Lepisosteus oculatus: one gene and its partner. Each later gene encodes a partner of the first gene's protein in a complex. Links are inferred from orthologs where the notes say so. Each region holds a gene or a part of one and is shown on either strand. Other genes may lie near its edges.

Region 1 (9,540 bases):
GGCTCCAAAGTTTTACAGCCCAATCATAAACCAAAACATTTGCTGTGTAAAAAAATGTGAAGTCAAAAATCCAGATACAGGAGAGCCAATGATTCCAAATTTGTAAACAATTTAGAAACTTTATCAAAAGCAATTTCTGTATACACAAAATACAAAAAATAGTTGGAACTGAATTCTCACCGGATGGTCCAGTTTAAGACGTTTTTCTTCTGATCTCTGTTTCTGTTTGAGGATAAGTTCATTCACTACTCAGGTGTGGAAACAAGAATGAAAATCAACAGAAAAACAAAAAAATATGAAGCCTTTTAATCTCAACGATATTCACACAGTACACTTCAGTTGGTGTAAAGAAAAACTGTTTTCCTCCAGAGACCAGTTATAAAATAGGATCCTTTTACCAAAATATACTCTACTGCATACTTAAACAGAAATGTTGTAAACTGTAAAAGCTTCGCATTAGAGGAGGACTTTTGATTTTCACTTTATTTAACAAATTCCAGCTCTCTTCTCTGGCAATCTCATCCCACTGATGGACAATTACCTTAATGTTAACTGTATTTATTTGTACATACTTAGCAGAATATTTGGTCTCAAACAAAGAACAAAAATATTTTGTTATCAATAAATGTATTTTACTTCCACAACCAGACGGATGTGGATTGCATCGATGGGGGTTCAATAAATGCATTGTCTTTTCATTTAGACATTACTGGACTTACCTAGAAAATTGGGGAACAGCTGATCCACATTATCAATAATATAATTACACTTTGGGCACCTGTTGCTGTCTTCCAAACTCTGCCGAATACACTTGTAACTAAAAGAAATGCACACCAGTAAAAAAAATGCTGACAAACGGTGCATAAAAAACAGACTTTTTCATCACTGTTCATTTAAAATATAAGATGATTACATATTAAAAAAATACTCTAATTCCTATGTTCCCAAAAACATTTTACTGCACATTTAAGTTCTAAAAACAACAATAAAAGCACAAGCTTAGAGCATATAGCTCTGTGCAATAAAATTAAGATTTAGCATATCCTAAAACCCATTTGTATAAAAATGCACTCTGTGTTAATCACAAAATGATTATAGGGAAATAAAACTTACATTTTTATAAAACTTCCAAAACCCACCAGTACTGACAAAAATGAGACAGACTGAATCCAACAATTACATTTTCCTACAATAAAAAGCACTGTCTACAACTAGAATAGACTGCAGCAATTAAGGAATCTACTAATAGCATACACGTCAAGCAGTTCACTAGTAGTACAGTAGATTATCATTACCAAAAAAGCTACTTTAATAGCGTTTATCAAATAAATCATGAAGTCAGCATAAAACATTCAGATACTGAAGGTGCTTAGTATGGCAAGTCTCAAATGAAGAAACTATGTGACAGAAATTTTAACTTAACTTTTCACATGTGATTTCTGCTGTACTTTGTTAACGTAGCTTTGCACTTTCTCTATTAAGGTAGTTGTGAAACTATGCTGAGTAATGCAGAATAATACATAAAAGAGCTAATTAAAATCCCAACTAATGCTACCTTAAGTGCACCACAAATTTTTTGATACATTTTTCTTCTTTTAATGCTTAAATGATTACTTACCAAAAGCTGTGCCCACATTTTGTCATATGAGCTTCCTCAATCATTTCAAAACAGATTGGGCTGAAAAAAAGGTTCACATTAAAAACAATTCAAATCATATTGCAACAGATTATTTAATTTACACAATTCACTAAAGCTAGTACAGTCTATATTTTTAAAGATCACCACACTTTGCACAAATGAGACTTCACGATCATTAAAAACGAACACGGATATATTGCTATAATTAAATAGAATATGTATGGGCCTTTAGAAAACAGTACCAAGCACTATATAGCACATTTCCTTAAGATACAAAATTAGAAAAAACAAAACAAAAACGAGAGTTAATCATTTATTGTACAATACAGTATAGAGCGGATTTATGGTGGTAAGGAGGTGTGCAATTGGAAGACACAATAATGTTTTATTGCTGAAGGACCATGAAAATGGCATATAACAACTGAATTATCTTAAGCTCTCAACAATAGTCAGAAAAGAAATTTGTTCCTAAATAAAAAAAAATCATGGACAAAAAAATAACATGCTAATAATTATGTAGGCATCACATAAAAGTAGGACATAATGTCAAGACTTTGCAAAGCCAAAAAGAACAAACATTAAGCAATCAGCCAGTCCTGAAAGATTGCGACAGGTTTAACACATCACGTTTGACAGTGATCAGCAACGTACGGGCACTGTCTTAATCCTGGGGTGCAAGAGGTACTGTACTTTGTAAGAACAAAAGAAAACTTTTTTTTGCCGAAAAGGCAAAGAGGAGGAAAAACCTTCCATTTTCACTGTGGCATCCCGAACGTTTGTTGACATCTGACAACCAAAAACCAACTACTGTGTTGTGTAAAGCAGGAAATTAGTTTGGCTTGCTTAGTACTAAACTGCCATTTTCAGGAGAGAGAAAAAAAAACGTGACCAATTCAGACCAGACAAATGTTTGACCTACAACATCCATTCATTCGAATAAAGACAAACGTGTACCAGTAAACGCAGTAACTCAGCTGCAGGCAGGAATACACATTATTGTATAGCCCACAAATCCAGAATGTAAAGCTGTCGCCAAAAAAATGCATCTAAATGGGGCTGAATCTATTTTTTTAATTTTGACCATTATGCTGTCGTCTGTAATTTCAAATCCTCGTCGAACTCGAAAATGTCCTACTCAAAAACATAATAACTACAAATGTCTGATGGGAGATGATTGATTTTACGAGCTGATGTTGGGTCCCGTTTCGCACAATGTTTCAATAGTGCAGATGAGAGTAATTACGTGTTGTACTATTTATAAAATGGGGAATATATATATATAAACATTCAGGGGGCAAAAAACACAATACCAAAAACCAGCACCGGTATCTTAATTTCTTCACTTTCAGAACAATCCAAAAAAATGCCTCAGTCGGCATGATTCATGTCGGCCTTATGGAATTTAAATGCCCCCCCTCAAAACAACAACAAAAATAACTCACCACACAAAGTCGTTGCTCTTGTCTTCGTACGAGTTTATGAGGCCATTGCAAAGGGGTGTTGGAAGAGGACGTTTTCTGCTGCTTCCAGAGGACGAGCCGGGTCTGGCCAGAGAAGCTGGAGTAACTCGGGAAGTAGGGATCCCCAAAGCGGCCACAGGTAACCCCTCGGCTCCACTTCCCAGTGTCCGTGAAGAGACAACATTTGCAGAATTGGTCCCATTACTAGTGTTACCACTCCCGCTGCTTGTGTTTCTGGCATTATTGCTGCTACTGGTGCTGCTGCTGTTGCTGTTGCTGTTGCTGGTGGTGGTGGTGCTGCTGCTGCTACTGCTACTCGTCCCAGGCCTTGAGCCCGCCGCTCCTCCAACCTGCGGCTTTCGGGGGGTTGACATAACTCGAGGCCGCTGCTCCAACTCCGCTCTGGCAGGCCGCAGGCTCCTGCTCACTGCATCCGGGCTGCAAGGTTTAAAGACTTAGAAACTCAGGAGAAAGACACAACCCCCCCCCCCCCCCCAAAAAAAAAAAAAAAAACCTCACCAGCAGTCACTCCGATCGGGTTATTTCAGGGAATGCGATCAGGCTGTTGAAACTGTCGAAAGCTATCACTTTCCTGAAAGACACGGAAAGGAGCTAAACAGCAAATCCTGCGAACAAAGCTCCGCTGCCAAACCGAGACTTGGAAACTACAAGCGATCTCCCCGGTTACAGAGCAGTGCGGGACCGCACAGCTGCCACCTTTGCGCCGCTGCGTCAACACGCAGGACTTCCCACGTACAGGTACAAAAAAAATAGCGGGACTTCGTAAGTCACGTAAAACATCCATTTGGTTTAAATTACATTTGAAGAGGATAGGTGTTTTTTTTTTTATATACAACCTATTCACACAAAGTAGGGATATACGGTATAATTACTTGAGCTGTAGGCCTATAGTGTGCAGTACTTATATATACACAACACCCATTCATTTCGAGGGAAGAATTTATTATCACGACGACAGGCTGGTAACGCTTTTCTTGTTTTGTAACTAGTCTTAATAAAAAAAAATATACCCATGGATTATGTATGTCAACTTAATTTTAATGCAAAAAAGTTACATTGCAAATGTTGAAATGCCACGACAGTTTTATTGCAGCTCTATTTGATAACGGAAAAAGCGGTTATTTTGATTTTTTTTCCAACCAGAAAGGTTACAACAAAAGAGGTTATTCGAAAAATAACAACAAACCACATATATGTGATGGTAATGACTCATTTCGACACATGTGCAGATTAGTTGGTCACAACTTTCTGAAATAATCATAAATAATATTGAAAAATAACCCTTCATTGCATGTTTCTAATAATACCGGGAATATCCACATGAGGGCGATATGTACTCAAAAATACAGTGCAATTAAAACACGTATACTTCAAAATAATTGTACAAAGAGCTATAAAATACATTGTGTCATACAATTATTGATTTTTATACTACAGCTGTGCTACCGATGGCTTAATGATGATTTTCGAAAGTATTTTGGGAACATTTGCAGATGATGCTTATATTAAGATGTAATGGATTAAGATGCTTTCTTTCTTCTTATCACAGTAGGTGTGCGTACTTGTCCTTTCTGAATAAGTAAATATTTATAAAGACATGTAAATGAAATTTGAGCCATGAAAGAAAAATACAATGTAATCAAATGAACATGTCAAAAATTGTACCTATGTTGTATAAAAACATTATATTTTTGGTTTTATTAGCTGTTTTCTCCTGTATGAACTGTATTCCCGCATTAAATTTTCTCAGTTTTAACACAAGGTGGCGAGCTTGTTTCTTTTTGTGTTTTATTACTTTATATTCATGTATAGAGGAAAACTACACAAACAGCAACACGTTCAGTTGCAGGACAAGCTACAGTACGTAGCAGCAAAGTACAGTTTATTTGTTCTGTCAGCAATAGGTCTCCTCTGTCCACAAAATGAAGAGTGAGCATTTTCTTGCATTTTTCATTACAATATAGCAGGTGAAACAGCTTGTATGGTCCAGCTTTAAGATTCTGCAGCACTTTTATTTTATTTTTTTGTAGTGTCTTTTTGCTTTGGCTAAGTCTCTCCAGAAGCTGAAACTGTCCTCTATCATAATTACTCATATACGTTTTTTTGTTGTGTCTATGGTAATACTTTCTAATTCTCCCAAAAGGTCTTTTTGAATGCAACATCACAAAATATTGTTTTTCTCCCCATACATTAAGATGCTAAACTTAAATAATTTATATTTTGTTTGTTTTTTTGTATCTCCTCTAAATTAAGTAGCTGAGGTATTTTTTTCTTAACAGTTGTTGTTTTTAGGTAGTGGAATTTGGGCACATTGTGATGGTGGGAGATCAGGTCTGCTCTAAAACCCCTTTGAGTTTTCAGAGAGGTCTCTCTAACAAAACAAAGGTGGGCTGGGAGGAGTGCCGAAGGTTCTGTGTGGGGAGTGTCTAAACAGACCATTTATAAATACCCAAATTGTGGAAATGAAGCCATGTTGTGCTATGGGTAAGAATTTCTAACAAGGCAGGCAAGGTTAATTCTAGAAAACAGCTTTTAATAGGAGAAATAAATTCTAGTCCCCAATGTTTGCATTTCTATCATTGTTTAAATAAGAATGCGTATCCTTTAGCTCTCATCTCAGCTCTGAGTTAATATTTTAAAGCAGTTATTTTGAAAGGTAGGCAACTTTGACACAGTAAGTGCCTCTTTGGCAGCACATAAGAAAAAGTGGACCACCAGTGGTTTATTTTCTGATCTCTCAAGGGGCCAGTACCTCAAACCCATATCATGATAAAAATTCTTGCTGGCAAGTGCAAAATTAATGGAAGTGTTCCAAGCTGAGCCATAAAAGCCCTCCTGAATCTGCCACAGGGTCCTGTTTTGTCAGATATGACTGAATCTCCCACATCTTATTAATTTGCCCTCTCCTCCAAGGCACTTCTTCAAAAAGTCTTTTCCTTTCCTCATTTTCATTGAAATCTGACCCAAAAGAGTAATATACAGAGCTTTAAAAAAGGTAGTCCATCTGTGCTTCTCTGAATTGTGTCTTTTACGAGGTCAGAATTTTATTGGTAAGGAATAATACAGTTATGCAATGAAATCAGTACTGGAGCAGGTGTCTGGGAAGACTATCTGAAGCAATGTTGTGATGATTTTACAGTTTCCTCGTGTTGTATTTATTAAAATCATTATTACCTTACAAGAACATTTTCACTCAGCTGAAATTGAAACTGCTTTTCTCCAGTCTGGAATCAAATACATACATTGAAAAATAATGTAAACTGAGCATTTCTTTTCAGTAGAACAAACAGCTCATGGTACTGTACTTGGTATTCAGTTAAAGCCATACAGCCATACCTGTTCTATAATTAAAGTGTTTCAATGCATAGATATTCAGCCCACTTAAGTTCATATATAATTTACAGTACAGGAAAATGTCAGCATGGGACTTTTGTGTAATATCACCCATATTAAAAAAAAATCCTAATTTCTTAGTAAGAATGAACTCACTTGTATGAAAAAAAAATACATTAGTAAGCAAATATTTTTTCAGTCATAGTTGTACTCTCCACTGGGTGTTGATCACAATTTTATTTCCTTAATATACAAATGACTATTTGTCATCTTCTTCACAGGCAATTTCCATTAAAAGCAACTTTTTTTTTCAACTCCATTTGATTCAGTTAAATTATATTATTTTGAGAGAGTTATGTCTTCTCATTAGCAAGAGTGTCTTGGCTCGCATGCTGCATACATTTTGACAAGTTATCATGCCAAAAACACAAATTCATAAACATCATATTTAGAAAATCTTTCATTCTGAGAAACGCATAGAATAATATCCTGCAAGGTCTCTTAGTTTAAGAAAAACCTAGTTCATATACTGGGGGGCAGAGCAGTTGCCACTTCAAATCTCGGGGCCGGCAGAGGAATCCTACTCCGTTGGGCCCCTGAGCAAGGCCCTTAACCCCAATTGCTCCTTGGGCGCTGTACAATGGCTGACCCTGCACTCTGACCCCGAGCTTCTCTCCCTGTCTGTGTCTGTGTCTCATGGAAAGCAAGCTGGGGTATGCGAGAAGACAAATTCTTAATGCAAGAAATTGTATATGGCTAATAAAGTGATCTTACACTGTTTTAATATCTCATTGTGGCCAGGATCTCTCACAAGCAGTAAACAGATACATGAGATCTTCTGTGATTTTACATAAGGCAGTATCAACTTGAGGATTCTCAGCTCCCTATGAACTGGCTATCCTTGCCACTGACCTGGGTTTAGACGAAGATAACAGTCCATGCTGTGAAGGTCCACCTTATGACAAGCAATGCTAAACTGGTCATGCTCTGGGGTTACAGTATGACAAAAAGCAGATGGCTCTGTTGACACTCGTTCTCAGAGAATGGGTTTTCTGCTGACTGCTGGGATGTGGACAAAAACAAAATATTGGGACCTCGGTGCAGTTTTCTTTTCCTCTGTGATCTAGAATGGAGTTTTGATGATGAACCATACAGTACATTTTAAGGTGGAAATCCTCATGACCTCATTATACACTACTGTATTACTATTGCCATCTAGGTGACTAAGTAACCCATCAGCCCATGAAAGGTGTATCTTAATTTCATGAACCTCTTTTTACAGCTACAGAACTTTGTTGCAGTTTTTTGCTATGTGCAGTAGCCACGATTCAGTAACCCGCCAGTTATCCTGGAATGTCGCCCACAATTGTGTGAATCCCAAAAAATAGGAATTGTTTAAGTTTTGATATGATAAACCCTAAACATAGTGGGTCATTTTCTGTTCTCTTAAGGTTTCTTGCTGATAATGAGACCCATCGCTGCCTTGTTCAATTAATTACTGCAGATTAATTCGATTTTAAGGGAGCTCTAGGGATACAAAATTAAATACCTTCTTCTCCCCACCCTCACTCCCCAACAAACAGAAAGTCTCCAACTTTCCTTGCACTCATACGTAACCCCTATATCTACTGTAAAAGTTGCCCGAACACAAGAGATGCAACCATTGATATCCAGCTCCCCCTTTCTCAGTATGCTCTTAGTACATCCATTAATTATAAATGAGAACATCATCTTTGCCATCTGAATCATTTATATCTCTCACAGTTAACAGAGGGAGAGTCCCCCTGGCAAAGACACTGAGGAAAAGAAACACAAAGTAAAAACAACCACTGTACAAATGGTTAGCCGGGTATGTTTACTGAAAGGAGCTCCATAAATTAAAGCTGATCATAGCCAAAGTATTTGAATTTTTTAGTTTCAGTATCCTTGATGACTTATCAATAGAAGACAAATGATAAATAAGGGACAATCAAAAATGTTCTGCTTTCAAAATGGCTTGTGGTAGGATCAGTGGCAGTAATGATCTCTTGTTTTGCCTTAGTCTAACCTTTTCTAGCTACCCTTTTTTCATACCAGCATTTCCTTCAAAAGAGATGCTATCAGTGCCCTCTAGAATTCATCAACTGTGCCTTATCATTTGTAATGGTCTAATTTGATCTCTAGGTGATCCTCATTTGAAACATGGATTGTATTTTATGCCTTTGTAAGCCATTGTCCATGAATACCCTACAAACAGGAGCAATCACAAAGACTCTCTTTTCTCTTAGCTCATTACATAAGGTTCTTGCATTCAGACTGAAAGTTACTAGTGTTTTTTATGCTAGGTTATTTTCCCATTTCCTCTTTAAATTACCTTTTGAAAGGCAAGGGGTGCCTTGTTAAATTTGATTGCTGGACTTGAGAGCTCAGACAGTTTCAAGCTGTGTTATGGGACACTGGTGCATTAAAAGTAAATTAATATTTTACCCTCCATTGTATTCAACTTCTTTTAACAATTGGTCTTCTGATTTCAGATAAGATAGAGTTTGTGAAACATATGGCAAATTGTTGAAGAGCCCTGGAAGTCTACCAGTAACGCTTTTAAACAAAGTTGAGCAACTCCAATTTTCATCTCCCTTTTCAGAAAAGCCATTGGGATTTCCCAAACAATCCACAGTAATGAGTTAAAGGACTCACACCACAATGCCCCAGCCTCTGAATTATAGATACCATCAAGTCTTTCAAGCATAGAATTTGGGAAATGCATATATTTGTGCCAGGTAATGATTTATAACTGAAATGGTGTACACTGTGTACACTGTTAAACTGTAAATAGTTTGCATGGAAAAAAACCTCAGTGCATCTTAACTGTAAATACCTCTCCTCTCTGCCAGGGGAAAAGAGAAGAGTTTAAGAACACATGAATTGTTGTGTAATTTCTGTAATAATATTAATACCATTACAGCTAACAGATGTATATTGATGTACATCACGCCATGCAGTTTAAGAGACATATCTAAATATGCCACAAATATCATTCCCCTAAGGCTTTCATTGCTAGCAGTGCAAATTAATACTGTCTCTATCCCATTTGGAAATGTCTGACTT
Region 2 (9,755 bases), on another chromosome or scaffold:
CTCATTATTTAGATGGAAAGAATCATCCCATTTCTCTTGTTTTTTTTTTTAATTTATGTTGTCCCTCATGCATTGTGACCCTTGAAACTTTTACGACGTGCAAGAAAACAGAGCTCAGCGATCAGAAAACTGTTCTGTTACTAGGGAATGTGCTAGTTAACTGTGGTAAATAAATAACTACAATTCTGCAGTTACTAGTAAAAATGCTGAAGAATGCAGATATCCCTTTGAAATAAGAAGCAAATGCAAAAATTAAAACTAAGCTGACCGCCATCCCTTGCACACCTTGTGCACTTGATCAATAAAAATGTGCTGATATAAAATGTATTTTAATTCACCTAAGAGAACGTAATATGGATTGCCTTTACTGGGTGGCAAACTTTAAAATTGATTTAAAAAACCTTCAAGCCTCTCATTAAAGCACACAGGGGGGGGTATCAAACCAAAGTAAAATGAGAAAATGTAGGAAGTTAACAGTGATCAGTATGGGCTCGAGGCAGGGACATACCAGAGACTACGGCATTATGCAATTAGTCTTTGATGAAACAAAGGCATGCACTAATCACTCCACATCAGCCAAGTGAGTTTGTCTAAGTTTAGCAACATTTCCAAGACGATAAAAGAAGCCTTTTGTTTGTTTCCTAATATGGGGATCAAGGAGGAAAACCTGTGTGACAAAACACCCACAAATCTCTCCTTCTAAGGGCAGATGACATGGAGTCAGCTCGCACAGGTCACCCACATCAGCAACGCATTATTCCACAATAATATGTAGCAGGTTCTGCTTCATCTTGGCCTGACAGTGAATAGGTGCACAGTGTGAATACATTTCTACAGCATTCCAGGGTATAGCATGTGGAAACTATGACTCAGCTAGCAATGCGGTTCATCTCTTCTTTGCCCCCTATTCTAATGGCCAGCACCTGTGCCTTTGCCTGCCTCTGCTTAATTGCCTAAAACTGCTGTTGCCACATTGGTGACACATGACGTTATTAGCCTTTGCTGCAACACAGATTTCAAAATTAGCAAGGCAGCCTGCAATATTGGGTTTCAGCAACTGCTTAAGCCTATTATAGTATTGTATGTTGCAGTTGCAAAAGTTCCTTAATTTATTTTGGTTGCGGGTATTTTCAATTTAAATACGTTTCTGACGTAAGCATGGTGCTTGAATCAATGCTGTAAAAACTGTAAATGCTGCATCAAGCAGGCAAATGTGGTGTTCCTCCCTTCACATTAAGGAAATAAAAAAACATATGTGCGTACTGAAACCACTTTCGGTTTTATCAAGTATGCCCAGTCTTTTATGTATGTACAGAGTGTCCAGAAGTCCTCAGTTTGTCTGCAGAAGCTAAGACAAGACAAGGCACTGGGGTTTATATCGTACTCCCACCTTTTTATGCACAAAAATGACATTAGACCACAGCTTAATCTCACCTCTTAACAGAATGAGTGTCCAATTTATACAAGACATTTTCTGTCCCCAGATTAATGTGATCCTTAAAGACGCCCCCCCTCCCTTAAAAATGAATCATTCCCAATATATCTTCAATTATCTTCAAAGGCCTCCAAATATATTACATTTTACAAAGAGGTATACTGTGTTTTCTGCAGTCTGTTTCTCTTAGATCCATACCAACACTCATCAGACGTTTGATGCCCTAGAGGTAACAAACTGCTCACAATAAAATGGCTAGTAATATAATAGAAAAATAATCATTTGAAATGAGAAAAGCTCTGGCAGTTCCTCGTGGAACGGCAGTATTGTCTTTCCCCATCTATAGTAAGCTGAAAGCAGTGGACTTCATGTTATAAAACAATTTACCGCACACAAATGTAGTATTCTGATAAATGTATGAGGCGATACAAAAATAAAGAGTTCCACACAATGGTACCAAGTCACATTAGTGCCTTTTGAACGGCCCTGCAGTTCGTGTTTAAATGCTACTAATGTAAATCATCCTCACCTCTTCTCATCCGCGAAGACAAATTTCCTGAGTTTTAGGTCCCCCAGCACGACCCCAGACTGGTGGCAGTGAGAGACAGCTGAAACTATCTGGCGGAACAGCCCGGAGGCCTGCGTTTCGTTCAGCTTCTTACAGCCTTTCACGAACGTATGCATGTCCCCAAAGTCCTTCTCGAAGAACACGTAGGCCTTCTGGTCCCCCAAAACAATGTCCTTAATCTGGGAAATGTTCTTGTGCGCTGGTACGATGGTGTGCGGTCTTATCTTTTCCTGGTAGTGTTTCAAGCTAAACACCTAATAATTGATGGGGAAAAAAAACCAATGTTACTGTCTGTATAGTATCTTTTACAATGCAATGTCAAGGCTGGTACGGTGAATATATCAGGTTATCTCACAGGGAATATATATATATAAATAAAACGCACCCGCAAACACGAAGAAGTTCATCGCATTTAACTACACTTACCTCAGTTTTCTCAAATCAGCAGGAACTCCACTTAACGTAGACGAAAAACCAACATGATCGTTTGCTTACACTGCCAAATCCATTGACAAATACAATTAAAGAGCTATTCGGAAGCAAAATAGTTGAATACCAGATCGTTTTTTTTTGGAATAGAAAGATGCCGGGTTTAAACTGGAGGCCAGTACTAGCAGTCATTTCTCCAGCCGACATACGCGGACGACAAGGTGAGCAGATAGAAAAACGGCGTGTAATCGGGTGACCTGGCATGAGGGCTTGGGTTTCTTTTTTTTTTAATACAGAAAGGGATTTAAGGACACAGGTTGAAAAGCGACAGTAGTGCTGCACAGCGCTGCCATGGTTGTACACAAATGAACAACATTTCTTAACGCAGCGAACACGATCACCTTCCTCGTATAATTTTATGGCGACTGGTGCGTTAATGAGCTTCAAAGTGGTTTTTTTTGTGTGTGCGCTTACATTAGAGGCAGATCAGATACAGACTTCGCCAGACCTTATCCATTTACCAAAATAAGATTTGATCATTTGATCTATGGAAGCAGAATACCATCAGTCTGCAAAAATATGAAAATGCCCCGTGTAAAAGCATTAAAATTGCGAAATTTATTGTGCAATTAATAAAAATTTACGGATGTCACGCGGGATCGTCATGCGCGTATTTGGCAAGAAGCCCGTGTTGTTTTTTTTGCTTTTCGTATCTCATGCATAACTTCCAAACCGGGGGGGAGGAGGGAGGGGGCGATTGTTATCATTAAAATCCCTCATTCTGCCGTTTCCATACCTTGCACACAAACTCCTCTCCCGTGTTTATGTGGAGTGCGCTGTGCACCCCCTCCCTGTCGGAAACGGGCAGCAGCAGGAACTGGCAGATCCGAGAGAGACCCTGGTGGCTTGCAGGGGTGCCGGGCGAGGCTGCGCTGACCGGGGACGCCGGGGAAGTGCTGAGGTAACCGGTGTCGTTCGCGGAGTCGCTCAGCCTCGGGATCTTAGACACCGGCTCTTCGGCGTCTACTCTCTTGGATCTGCACCTCCCATTGCGAAAAAATGGGATCGGACTGGTTCGCTGCGCGTTCCAACTCATGTGGGCCAGCATTCAGACAAACACTTTTAACTCGGATATTAAAGAATTTCCAAGAGCCCCCACATTGACTTAGTCTTCCTTGGGATTCCGCGGATGCCCAGTGCTGTATACAATTACAGGGTTAGGATAATCCCAGTATTTTAGTTTAAGTAAATCCTGCGATTCTTCACAGATAATACAACGATGTAAGGATTTTAAAAGAACAACCTCTGTACAACTCCGAATGAACAATGTCCTTTTGTTTTCTTTCTCCAAGTTGACTTCAATGTATAGGCAGGCGCTGCCTCCCGATTTAACTGTTGATATGTGAGGCGGACCTCACAAAGCACAGAAGAAAAAAAAAGTTGTTCCACTCAAGTCAAATAGAAACGCTCGACAGAAAGCGTGCGCCGTGGGTTTCTCGATGCGAGAATGACCTCGCTGATTCAGTAGGTGCCCAAACTAAGATGCTATTTCTAAACCCTTTCTCTTTAGCAGTGCAACTGGAACTCCGCCCGCACCGGCCCCTTCTATGACACGGTTTCAGGAGAAACCCTCCTCGGCGGTTGTGCAATCACACAACCACACATCACAAAGCATCGCAATGGGCTGCGTGCGTAATCACAAATTGCAGGTGAAACTCGGGCAGCCGGTTATTGCTGTTCATGCCTAAAGCCACACATTTGTAAAGCAAGAGCAGAAGATTAAACAATAATAACACAATAAAAGTGTAATTTATGTGACGTTGCGGGAAAGCCAGTAGAGTACTGGATGAACAGCAGGTGTGTCCAATTAAGTGTTACATTGTTTTCGAATAATTAGCACACTCTCTTTACATTATCACGCTGATCAAAGATAATGGTGGCGCGGTTCCTTTAAACGATATTCATTCGCGTCGCGATCGTAATTGTGTTCCTTCCAACAACAGTAATCCACTTTAAAGCTTCATTTGAGCCCAGGAATTTGCAGCTGGATAGTGACGGGCACAGTGGTATAAAAAAAATGCGGCATCCAAACGATCGGTCCTTTTTTCTCTCAAAAAGGCAGTCGTGCATTCTGGGCTAAAACTTCCAACATGCAGACAGGCACGCAGGAAGGTGCGCGGTTAACAAAATCTGAACTACGAACGCGCAGTTCATTTATAAATAGCGAGTCCACTTTCAAAAATATTTCCCAATTCATGATTTTCGATCATCATAAATATCCGGAATGCACAGCACTGCACGGTATAAATACACACCACGGTACTAAATTACATTCTTTCGCAGCTACTTATTAACAGGAATAAGGTCCAGATTTAGCTCGTTAATTACCTGTCATGAAAAGGATAGCGTTAACTGACCAAACGGATGAATTTTTTGCCAAGTCTCGGAACGCCCTACTTAATTCTGCCATATTGGAATTAAGCCTTTTCTGACAGTTTATCTTGTTGGCCACCAATTGCAGTCAGAATTCAAACAGACAGCGATGTTTTGGGAGAAGTCATAGTTATTTACTACTCATAAATACCGCGAACAGGAACGTCTTCATGACATGATGAGGAAATTAAATGGAAAAAATTCTGAACTCTGTGCCAACGAAATGTACAATGATAAGATACTGGGAAATGGGGGTAACGTGGTCAATTTGAAATGCAATAAAATATGCAGTAATCATGTTTTCTCAACAGTGTGATAATATTCACGATTAGACACTCTGAGGTGTAGAAATCGCCTTAACATTCCCCTTAGGTGATTTCAAAACAAACTAGACCTGATAAATGGACCCTTTTGATTTCAGTTTTCCAAGTATTTCATCTCTCACACCACCAGTGTGTGGCAAATCTTTCACAATTTCTAAAGCATTCATTCTGCAACAGCTCATATTGTCACTTGTGAGTAAATCTGTTGCCAAAGTCCAGCAAGGCTTTCATATAGTTTTATTTTAACAAAGATGTACTTCTTTAAATGATAAGCCTCCTTTTACACAACCGTCTGGACTATCACAATCAGGTTGCACCACAGTGTACCTTACTCCAATTGTCTGACTGCATTGTGTGATAGTACTGTATATGTAAACAACACATCACACAAAAGAATCTTGCTCCTTTAGAGGGCTAGGTATGACAAAAAATGTTATCCCATATCTCTTAAAAAATAAGAATAAAAAATGGCAAAATAACAATTTACCGGCATACAGCCGCAGGAAAGTAACCCCTGCTTCTACAAAACATGCCTCAAAACAACCCATTTTAATACAGTATTTCCACCGTCATCTTGAGCTACGATGAACAGCAAGTCATCTATTGTGATCTAAGAACACACAGTACCAGCAGGTCTGCTGCTCACTGTAACTTACTTCAGAAATGCCAATTCATTACATTAGTGGGAGAACCATGGACCCTGCCTGACGTGATGAACCACAGAAACTAGAGAAACAAAACATAGCACTAATTTCGTGCCTGTGAATACAGCACTCTGTAGCCTTACTTCTGCCCTGCTGTGCAAGATACAGTATGAATGCTCCACTGTTCACAACACCCTTCCAGTAAAGATGTGCCTGCACCAGTGTGAGAGAATGAGGTCTGAAATGCGGGCAGGCATTTGCATTTCAAATGGAAGTTCAAAGCAGAACAATGTAATGATTAATTCCGTATTTCCATAATTCCAGCTTGCTGTTCTGAAATCAGTCCTGGGAAGAGCAGCCAGATGACTCCCGGGACTCGCACTGGTGGGACCCTGACAGACTGAAGGAACTGGACCTTTTTAGTCTTGAACAGAGAAGAGGAGAAGACTACAAGTATTCAAAATCCTCGAGGACACAAATGGAAACGGTGTGGAAGTTCACTTAATATCTGAAAAACAGGAGGCACATCTTTGCCCTGAGGGTTGTGGGAGTGCAGAATAAGCTACACAGCCATGTGGCTGTAGGCGATACTTCTTTGCTCCCTTCAAGAAACAGCTGGATGAGATCTCTGGATCCATTAACTACCAAGTACCAGATGGGCTGGCAGAGCTGACCGGCCCCCTTCCATTCATAACCTTTCGTACGTTCTGGACCTCGGAGGAGTTCTGCTATTGCTCATCCTGTACTGGAGCTCATTTGGATCAAAGGCCATCTCATCAAACAACTGTAGCCAGGAATCTCCAGACCTGGTAGTGCAGTAATGGCTATATACAGTACGACTTTAGCAACAAAAACAATGTCTGCACCCATTCTTTTCGGAAGGGATGACAACAGCCCGGTTTAATCAGACTCAGCTGTCATTAATTTGCACTCACAGCTGTCGTCATTTCCTCTCCAAAAACACTGCAAATACTGTAGGTGATCCCCCTTCTCTCCCTCCCACACGTCTTTTTCAATCCCATCTCCACTTCTACAGCCCTCTCGGCCTTTTGCCCAAGATCGTGTGGGGAGTGTCATGTGTGTCTCCCCCTCTGCAGCTGCCCCCAGGTCACTCCTCACTCTGCAGGGGGTCCCAGCCTCCTCCTCCTTCTCCTCCTCTCCTGGCCAGGAGGTCTGCCCTCAGCCAAGCGGGTTAAGCCAGATTTCGACTGAAACATTCCGTAATCCTTTCAGAACGGTTCATTCTTGGGTGTTGTTATTTCTAGTAAATTGGCCACTGCTTTCACCAGTGTAGCGGGGTAGTCTGCACCCTCTGAACACAACTGGGTAACAGCCCTTCCCCAGTTTAGACCGTCACATTAACCATAAAAGAAGGCATTCAATGGAAAACTGAATGTATCCAATGAATAAAATCACTGGTGGGGACTACATTATTATTATTATTATTTTTTTAATGGGTCAGAAAAATCTAAAACATTCTGAACAGGTGAACGTGCATTTGCGAACATATCAAATCAAACAGAAACAGAACTGAAACAATAAAAAACAAATGCAAAATTAATAAAAAATATTTTTTGTGTCACTATTGCTAATTTCTGAGCACACACAAAATCCACAGTACTAAGCTGACAGCTGGTTATGGAATCAATCAGTATTGAATGGAGTACAAGGCACAGTACACAACAGATTATACATCTAATTTTAGACATCGTGCATTTTTGTCCTTTTTTCACTGTTGACTCACAAACTGAAGCACATCTCTGTCATGCAGCAGAACCACTGTGAAACAGGTCTGTCTTTCCTTTAGATAAGAAGGCAGTGCTACTTTCATTTTCAAAGCTGTTACTTTCAGTCTGTCATCTTTTGTTTAAAAAGCTGCATGGCCAGGGGCCAGAAATAATCAGTGACTTTTTGTTAACTTACTTTAATCAGTTAAAAAAAACACATTTTCATGTTCTGAATCATTCATTAATGCAAATGACATATGGCGTGATGTGGTAAGAAACTTAAAAATAAGGAAACAATTGTTTTCTGTTTTGAAAGAAAAAATCTCACATCTAATGTCAACGGGTCCTCTGAAACTCAGCTCTTCCCTGTTTTTTTAATTATCAGCCAAGGGAGATTTAAACAGAGGAAATATCTGCAAATAGTATTGGGGATGTTAAAAGTCAACTGTTTTCTTATTTCTCTTTTTAAACAATGAAATGCATGGGTAAATTAAATGGAAACAAGTAATGAAGTTTACCGTAGGCTCAACATTACCTTCACACATTACTCATAACTATTAAGTGCAAACTTAGTAACCTGCATTTTTATAAAGGAATTTCTTTGAAACAGGACAATTCTATTAGTCTGACCGGAAAGGGATTGGTCTGCATTAATCAGATGGTGAAGAGTGATCTTTGATAGAATATGCAACACAAGGCTGACACTAACACAGATCTCTGTACAATCACAGCTAATGACTAAGAAGGCTCAGTGGGGTGTCGTTGAAGAAAGTGTCCATTTTTAATACATGAAACTTTTGAACTGCTTATTAACTCATGTCAAAAAGCACTGCAGAGTGCTAAAAACAGAGTCTATACAAATTTGTTTTAAGTCTTGGAATTCCATCTTTTATAAATTCACTCAGACAGCTGGGACGCTGCAAAAAAATAAATTTCGGCAACCAAATGATGATGATAATGTAAGTAACAGGATGGGGTACCACTGTCTTTTCCCGATGTGATTTTTACATGACTGCCAGGCCTCAAATTACACGAATTACACCAAGCATAAAATGCTTAAAGCAGACATTTTTCGTGTCCATCCAATACTGCTTGCCTCCTCTAAGAGTTCCATTATGTGACTGAACTGACAGCTCTTTCCCTCTGTTTCAAACTGTCCGAGACTATTGGTGAAAGGGCACTGGTTCCAGTAGCTTGCTCCTGTTTCAAACAAAGCCTTCTGCACACTCGTTTGTGCAGGTTCCTGCCTCACATTTGTGACTTTGTGCTGAGCTTCTTCTGGCTCTGAATGAGCCTCTTCATTGTAGGATCTGGCACCAGGTCTGACTTTGTTACATCAGTGTTACCACATCCAACAACAGGGCACCTGAAGGGAAAGCAAGAGAATTAGCAGATTATGAAATTAGCCTTATTTACTTTCAACACTTTTTTTTCCCTATGCACAAAAGACCCTAGTAATATGCTGTTTTTTTCTTCTGAAGTCTTTATATTCATCCTAAGCTGTCTGGCTATGCAAAACTTAACCCACCTCAGCAATTCAAAATAGGTTCTTTATCTTTTCAAACCAATAACAGTTGCAATCCATTAACATTTGCAAATGTAATGAGTATGAGTTTTGAATGAAACCTCTCTCCAACCCTGACCTCCTGGAAAGTGCATCTCTCTAGTTGCAATTGAAGTAAAGTAATAGAGAAAGTAAAAGAGCAGATACAGGTATAATTATTTTACAGTTAACACTTTGAAACAAATTGCTCCCCAACCTATGACTACACAATTAGCAGCTGTGAAAATCATTTTCAAAGGTTTTATTTCTGTTTTTTGCAAGCAGCATAGATGAATTTTGAAAGTAAGAAAAACGACATACAGTATATTTTTTTTAACTATATAATGCTTTACTGAAGGCTGTGACCTGAATATCTAACATTAGCATACAGTATGATCTGTGATGCACACTTTGAAATACCACCTCTTTTGGTACAAGCCATTCAGGTACAGAGCTGTTTCGTTTTATGAAAGCACAAGAAGGTTTATGAACAAGAAGCCACTTGGTTCTTTGCTACTTCAATTGCTTGTATTGTTTAGAAAATCTCTGTTGCTTCTTAAAAGATCCCTCTCCTAGATGATATTTTTCTTAAATTCACATTTATTTGCATGAGTGTCAAATATAAACCTGACACTTTTCACCAGTGGCTAGAC

The links.
Region 2: the proteins of cop1 (region 1) and trib1 are in contact, whole or in part, in a crystal structure (PDB 5IGQ), measured with the Homo sapiens proteins. The link is inferred for Lepisosteus oculatus from reciprocal best matches to the Homo sapiens genes COP1 and TRIB1. Residues at the interface, in NP_071902.2 of Homo sapiens: Ile423, Ser425, Val441, Lys472, Tyr491, Trp517, Asp534, Ala556, Asn557, Cys559, Ala576, Asp577, His578, Lys600, Ala601, Ser603, Thr618, Lys643, Asn644, Phe645, Phe699; in NP_079471.1 of Homo sapiens: Asp355, Gln356, Ile357, Val358, Pro359, Glu360, Tyr361.

What each region holds. Positions count from the first base shown.
Region 1 is NC_090704.1:6,367,556-6,377,095, forward strand, and holds the start of cop1 (E3 ubiquitin-protein ligase COP1), read right to left. Parts: upstream 3,849-9,540; 5' UTR 3,619-3,848; intron 3,538-3,618; 5' UTR 3,474-3,537; coding exon 3,082-3,473; intron 1,679-3,081; coding exon 1,619-1,678; intron 818-1,618; coding exon 720-817; intron 246-719; coding exon 181-245; intron 1-180. UniProt on the Homo sapiens protein: E3 ubiquitin-protein ligase that mediates ubiquitination and subsequent proteasomal degradation of target proteins.
Region 2 is NC_090705.1:7,685,160-7,694,914, reverse strand, and holds the start of trib1 (tribbles homolog 1), read right to left. Parts: upstream 4,195-9,755; 5' UTR 3,541-4,194; coding exon 3,229-3,540; intron 2,258-3,228; coding exon 1,965-2,257; intron 1-1,964. Other genes in the region: nsmce2 (E3 SUMO-protein ligase NSE2), read right to left, coding at 8,808-8,925. UniProt on the Homo sapiens protein: Adapter protein involved in protein degradation by interacting with COP1 ubiquitin ligase. The COP1-binding motif is masked by autoinhibitory interactions with the protein kinase domain.